Macaca fascicularis: one gene and its partner. The protein of the gene in region 1 interacts with the protein of each later gene in a pairwise test. Links are inferred from orthologs where the notes say so. Each region holds a gene or a part of one and is shown on either strand. Other genes may lie near its edges.

The links.
Region 2: the proteins of NTAQ1 (region 1) and TOLLIP interact in binary tests that used the Homo sapiens proteins (3 or more experiments, as listed by UniProt). The two-hybrid records come from large-scale screens. The link is inferred for Macaca fascicularis from reciprocal best matches to the Homo sapiens genes NTAQ1 and TOLLIP.

What each region holds. Positions count from the first base shown.
Region 1 is NC_088382.1:133,068,983-133,072,632, reverse strand, and holds part of NTAQ1 (protein N-terminal glutamine amidohydrolase), read right to left. Parts: intron 1,507-3,650; coding exon 1,407-1,506; intron 1-1,406. UniProt on the Homo sapiens protein: Mediates the side-chain deamidation of N-terminal glutamine residues to glutamate, an important step in N-end rule pathway of protein degradation.
Region 2 is NC_088388.1:1,216,263-1,219,912, forward strand, and holds part of TOLLIP (toll-interacting protein), read left to right. Parts: intron 1-84; coding exon 85-234; intron 235-3,650. UniProt on the Homo sapiens protein: Component of the signaling pathway of IL-1 and Toll-like receptors. Inhibits cell activation by microbial products. Recruits IRAK1 to the IL-1 receptor complex. Inhibits IRAK1 phosphorylation and kinase activity.

The DNA.
Region 1 (3,650 bases):
AACCTTGCCTGCCTTCACAGGGCTTCCATTGGGATCAAATGAGATGATGCCTGCAAACGTGTTTTACAAAATACGAAGGGCTTCCTTTTTCTAATTCCTCATATAAGTTGACTGTAGTTCTATTTAAACTCCAGAGACAAATCCTTATTTTAAAACTGAGAGTATGCATATCTAAGTAATTTTTTAAAAGTCTACATCTTCCATCTTGAATTTAAAAAAAGAAAAAAAAAATGGCCAGGCACAGTGGCTCACGCCTGTAATCCCAGCACTTTGGGAGGCCAAGGCAGGCAGGTCACCTGAGGTCAGGAGTCGGAGACCAGACTGGCCAACGTGGAGAAAGCCTGTCTCTACTGAAAATACAAAATTAGCCGGGCATGGTGGTGGGCACCTGTAGTCCCAGCTACTCGGGAGCCTGAGGCACAAGAATCCCTTGAACCTGGTAGACAGAGGTTGCAGTGAGCCGAGATCGTGCCATTGTGCTGTAGCCTGGGCGATAGAGCGAGACTCCGTATCAAAAAAGAAAATAAAAGACAAACAACAACAACAACAACAAAACCAGGTCTACATTAATGCCTAAAGAAAAGGGACTCAATCTGTGTAGACCATCACAAATTTCCTTACCTAAAATAAGGGACTAAGCTGGGCACGGTGGCTCACGCCTGTACTCCCAGCACTTTGTGGGAACAAGGCGGAAGGATCACTTGAGGCCAGGAGTTCGAGAACAGCCTGGCCAACATAGCAAAACCCCAGCTCTACTAAAAAATACAAAAATTGCCGGGCGCGGTGGCTCACGCCTGTAATCCCAGCACTTTGGGAGGCCGAGGTGGGCGGATCACAAGGTCAGGAGATCGAGACCACGGTGAAACCCCGTCTCTACTAAAAATACAAAAAAAATTAGCCGGGCGCGGTTGTGGGCGCCTGTAGTCCCAGCTACTCGGGAGGCTGAGGCAGGAGAATGGCGTGAACCCGGGAGGTGGAGCTTGCAGTGAGCCGAGATCGCGCCACTGCACTCCAGCCTGGGCGACAGAGCGAGACTCCGTCTCAAAAAAAAAAAAAAAAAATACAAAAATTAGCCTGGCGTGGTGGCACATGCCTGTAAGTCCCAGCTACTCGGGAAGCTGAGGAAGGAGATGAACCCGGGAGGTGGAGGTTGCAGTAAGCCAAGAATTGCACCATTGCACTCCAGCCTGGGCAACAGAAGGGACTCAACTCATCTAACTCAATCATGCCTTGTAAGGAAAAAAATCTCATTCAAAAGAAAACTTTTAAATGTTGCTGTATTTTATAAAGCACACTTCAGAAGAGTACTACACCCATGCTATATTTTGCTTCTTTTTTTTAATTTAATTTAGCTTCTAATGTCATGTTAAATCTCATTTTCTTCCTGCACTCACTCACCAACTTACCATCTTCCTCTCATTAGATATGAAGACAGCATAACATTCTTGCAAAGGATACTGGTCATGGTTTTTGATGTATTCACAGAGCTTCCAAATATTTTCTTCACTGAAATAAAATAATTGTTTAATCAAGATTAGAGAACATCTATGTGTCTTTTAAAATTGAACAAAATACTGATGATGGCATCAAAAAGTTGGAAAAGACCTTAAACACCATGCCATCCAACAACTAGCTAACGTTTGAATCTCCTCTAAAACATCCCAACAAGCTGGTATTCAACCTATACTGTGTGTAAACCCCTCTCCACATAGAGGTGATTACCTTCCCCAGCAGTGCTTGTACATGGAGGCATTTTATAACTGATAAAATGTCAATATTCTATGAGTTTTGGGCCCAGCAACTTGAGATACAGCTGAAATTCTAACTCAGTCACTTACAAGGTAAGAACCTTTGACGGAGGCCGGGCAGGGTGGCTCGGGCCGGTAATCCCAGCACTTTGGGAGGCCAAGGCGGGTGGATCACGAGGTCAGGAGTTCGAGACCAGCCTGGCCAAGAGACCAGCCTGACCAATATGGTGAAACCCCGTCTCTACTAAAAATACTAAAATTAGCCAGGTGTGGTGGTGGGTGCCTATAATCCCAGCTACTTGGGAGGCTGAGGCAGAAGAATTGCTTGAACCTGGGAGGCAGAAGTTGCAGTGAGCCAAGATTGCCTCAGCCTCCTGAGTAACTGGGATTATAGGTGCATGCTCCTATGCCTGGCTAATTTTGTGTTTTTATTTTTATGCGTTTTTTTTAGATGAAGTTTCACTGTGTCACCCAGGCTGGAGTGCAGTGGTGCGATCTCAGCTCACTGCAACCTCTGCCTCCCGGGCTCAAGCGATTCTCATGCCTCAACCTCCCAAGTAGCTGGGATTACAGGCTTGTGCCACCATGCCTAGCTAATTTTTGTATTTCTAATAAAGACAGGGGTTCATCATGTTGGCCAGGCTGGTCTTGAACTCCCGACCTCAGGTGACCAGAGGTCTTAAACTCCTGACCTCAGGTGATCTGCCTGCCTCGGCCTCCCAAAGTGCCTGGATTACAGGCGTGAACCATCTTGCCTGGCCCCTTTGTATTAACTCTAAGCCCACCCTTACAGGGGAATGAACAAAGAGAAACTACAACCTATACCTCTTCCCATATCCCTCCAAATTAATGACTCCCTCTTCTTTTCTGCATGCATCTTTTATGGCCTTCTATGATGCCTGCCATTTATGGATTTGTATGTCTCTGCTCATGGTCTATAAGCTCTAATTTATCATCATATCCTCCAAGCACTTAGCACAGTATTTTGTACATTATAGGCTCTTGAAGATATTTGCGGTAAACTCCCCAAAAACTTCTATAAGCCAGACAGATAAGTGTCGTCTTCAAACCTGGCCTTAGAACATTTAGAATAAGGAAATTTTATCTACTATATATATGCCATATGTGATGCTGAAACAGTCAGTAATTTTTTTTTTTTTTTTAAAGGTTGTCTCGCTCTGTCACCCAGGCTGGAGTGCAGTGACACAATCTCGGCTCACTATAACCTCCACCTCCTGGGTTCAAGTGATTCTCCTGCCTCAGCCTCCCAAGCAGCTGGGATTACAGGTGTCCACCACCACGCCTGGCTAATTTTTGTATTTTTAATAGAGACAGCGTTTCACCATGTTGGCCAGACTGGTCTCAAACTCCTGACCTCAGGTGATCCACACGCCTCAGCCTCCCAAAGTGCTGGGATTACGGGGGTGAGCCACCATGCCCGGCCCAATCAGTAAATTTTTATTAATCTATAGTATATATCATATGAAGTAGTCAGTATCAGTAGCAATCTCCCTCTCTCCAACTTTTCTTTTTTTTTTTTTTTTAACCACAACCATCACTTTTCCCTTGTGGTTTCCTATTTATTTTAGAGAAAAAGAAAACCATGGGAGAAAAATATGTCCAACTGCCATATTTTAAGCCTAGTCTTATGGAGCATTGAGACAGGTAAGGCAAAGATTGATGAACTGAAAGAGTGTCTACTTCCATAAGATGGTGACCATCCTCAGGGCTGTTTATGCCTTGCTTCATTTTTAGGTAGCATGGCATGGATGAAATTAGGCTTTGGGCCGGGAGTGAGGGCTCACACCTGTAATCCCAGCATTTTAGGAGGCCGAGGCAGGTGGATCACCTGAGGTCGAGAGTTCAAGACCAGCCATGGCCAACATGTGATGGCCAACATGT
Region 2 (3,650 bases), on another chromosome or scaffold:
TCGCGGGAATGCTGGGGCAGCTGCTATCGGGCTGCTTTGTGTCCCCACCCTGACTCACTGCCTCTCTGGTCCCCGGCCCCGCAGGTGTACATCGGCGAGCTCCCGCAGGACTTCCTCCGCATCACGCCCACACAACAGCAGCGGCAGGTCCAGCTGGACGCACAGGCGGCCCAGCAGCTGCAGTACGGAGGCACCGTGGGCACCGTGGGCCGACTGAACATCACTGTGGTTCAGGTGGGCCTTGGGGCACCCTCCTGCCTGCCTGGGGCTGGTGCGCTCAGGTGGGGTGGGATTGAGGATTTCGCGTTTACACTGCATTTCCTAAGCGGGCAAACGGAACTTCTGATTCCCGCTTTTCCTGAAATGTGTGATGTTGAAAACGATCTGTGTGAAAAATACTGGCATTGACCCCGGCTTTTGCCAAACATAACTCAAATGATGAGTAGTGGGGGTAGGTGGGCGTCCGCTCCGTGTAGGGTCCAACCGGCTCCACCACCAGGCTTGAGGATGCCCCAGGACGCCTCCCAGGCCCCTGCCGGCAGCTGGAGGAGGCGTAGCTGGCCCCCCACCACTCGGCGTGCGCTGCGCGAGTGGCTTCCCATTGGCCCCAGTGCCGATGCCCGCACCCTCCCCTCCCCACAGAGCAGCCCTCGGTCAGCCTCAGGGCTGGACACCAGCCGCCAGGACGTGGTGACTCAGTGGACTTTCAAGTGAAAACCAAAATCGGCAGATTGAACACCGATTTTGATCACACCAAAACATTCCGTAAGATCACAGGAAAAGGAAACGCATTGTGAGCCACGCAGGCTTTTGTAGAAATGCACAAATACAGCAGGCAGAAGAGTCGCCGCGGACCTCACAAATAAGACTTGGTTTCAGGGGCTTCACTTGGTGTGGTGGGCACAGCTGTGCCGTCACCCCTTCCTCGCAGCGTGTCTCAAACCCTTGCCTGTGCAGCTGTTTCTCTGCTGGTGTGGCCCATCCCTCTGCCCACCCAGTGAACTCCTGTAAGCCCATGCTCTCCTGCCCCAGCTGCCACCAGGCCACCTAGTGCCATCACCCATTCTCAGCCGCTACCTCCTGGCAGGGCCTGGTGACCGCAGGGCACTCCGCCTCACAGTTCAAACTCCAGACCTGGCTGGGCCTTGGAGGTGGCCCTGGCATTGCCCACGCCTCCGGCCCCCCTTGGTCTTCTCCCACATCCTGGAGCCCACTGCAGGCAGCCTGTCTATTTCCTCCACGCGAGTTCACCCAGCCTTCCGTGCCACAGCTCCAGTGGGGGGGAACATTCCTGCCTCCTCACTGGGCCACGTAGCTCAGCACCCGCTTCCTGCTTCTCTTGGCTTCTGGGCAGCTGCACATGTGGTTCCCTGCTTGCCTCCCCTGGCTGCTTCCCCTCATCGTCTCCTGGGGCCCCAATGGGATGCCAAGGGGTCTGGTCCTCAGCCCTCCTCCCGTCTCTGCCCACACACCCCAGTGACTCCTGCGTCCCTGTGGGTCTAAACACCTGTGTGCTGGTCCCAGCCTGAGCCAGACACTCAGCTCCACCCCAGATTCCCAGGTACGGACCATGGCCACATGGCCTCCCCGGATGTCCCGAGGGCATGCCAGACTCCATGTGCCCAAGGTGGACCTCTCAAGCCACCCTCCCAGCTTCTCCCCCATGTCTGCAGGTGGTTGCCCCACACTCTGGAAGCTGAGGCCCAAAGCTCTGGTGCTCCTGGTGCTCCACGGTTCATCTCCACCTCTTGCCCTTCAGGCCTGACCCTCAGCACAGGCGCCACCTTCCGCCGGTCCAGGCGGGGAGCCCCCTGCACCACCCACTGCCTCCGCTCAGCCACTGGCTTGTGGCCAGAGCAGGTCACTCCCTGCACAGGCCTTTCTCGTGGGCATTGTCCTGCCGAGGCTTCTCAAGCCGGGGCCCATGTTTTGCCTCCCCCGGTCACTCCTGACCTTCCTGTTCCCTGGCTGTTCTCTTCCCGCTTCCTGCAGCTCTTCCTCCAGATCCTGCAGCCCACACATTGGTCCTCCGAGCTGGTCGTGCCTGCAGTGGTAGCGCCGTCTGCCATGCCGTGTGTCTGCCGCGCGTCTCTTGCCCGTTGTCGGGGAGGCAGCGGTGCCTGCGTGTCCCCGCAGTGTCCGTAGTGCCCGCAGTGCCCGCAGCGTCTGCCGCATCACAACAGCGTGTGGTTGTGTGGGGTTGTAGTGAATGGGCAGATGCTTCCGTAAACATCAAGGAGGTCACTTCAGTAGAGCAGTTGATGTCACAGGACGCTCCTCCTAGAGTTTTCTAGCCACAGTGCAGAGGGCAGTGGGAGGAGACGGGAATGACAGGACAAGGCTGAGTGTGACAGAAGCGGGCAGGACCCAGTGTGAGCAGGTGTCGGTGACGGGCACAGGGACGCTGGCAGCGGGAGTCCCACATGCCGCCCGGAAAGCTGCCTTTGCTCAAAGCCTTTAAAGTTAATAATAATAAAAAGTCTTAGCAACTAGGCAGAAACAGCACAGTTACCTGAAAGCTTGGGAACATCACGCTGGTCTCAGACTTTCCTGCTACATACCTTCCAGAAAATAGGGCAATTTCTAAGGAGTTTAGAGGGGCAGAGTTTCGAGTGTAAGAGCTGATCTGGCAGATCTGTGGGTGTGCAGCAGAAGGGAATTGGAAGCTGCTAGTCACCCAGAAGCTTCCAGAAAACTGTTCCTCCGTAGTATTCCAGAGCACGCTCCGGCCACCCAAGAAACACGCTAAAATTAAGGACCCAAGAATGGGGCGGTTTTGACATAAAACGGCCGGCCACAGTTTTGGTTAGAAGTGAAAGGAGGGAACTTGTATGTGGATGAGAATAGAAAACAGAGGACCCGGCAGTCCAGAGATGTGGGCACAGGAGGGGAGAGTTCAGCTGTGCGGCGGGGGGTGGCGACGATGGGACAGCTGTGCCCTCAGAGGAGGCGGTGAGGACAGGGTGGTGGTGCCCTCAGAGGGGGCGGTGAGGACAGGGTGGCGGTGCCTTCAGAGGGGGTCACCGAGAACTGGTTGTCTGTGCCCTCAGGGGGGGTGGGGGGCGGTGAGAATGGGGTGGCTGTGCCCTTAGGGGGGCGGGGGCGGTGAAGATGGGGTGGTCGTGCCTTCAGAGAGAGGGCAGAGAGGACGGGAGGCCGTGCCCTCAGAGGGGTTGGGGGCAGTGTCTGGACTCTGTTACACTGGGAAGGAGGAACTGGTGGGCTCTGTGTGGCTGGGAGGGCCGAGGTGGCTCCTGGGGTCTTTGTCACCAGCTCCTGGGGGTGAGCCAGGTTGGCCGCAGGAGAGCGGGTGGCGGCAGTGCGGGGAGGCCGTCTGCGTTCCAGGGAGGCAGCCGGAGCTGCAGGACTGAACCCAACCCAGCTCACGACGGCTTTTCTCTTGATTTTTTCTTGTAAAAGTTTTACAGTTCTAGGTTTTATATTTGAACCTGCCATCCACGTTGAGTTTGTTTGCCGAGCAATCATCTTACGTGCCGCAGTCTTCTGTCTTATGTGCCACAGTTTTTTGTCTTATTCTGAATGTTCATTCCCTTTAACACACGTTCACTCCCACCCCGCGGACCTCAAATGTCCCAGCCCAGCTGAGTGCCTGGCCTGAAGTCGAATCTCATGGTCTACATGTGATGTGG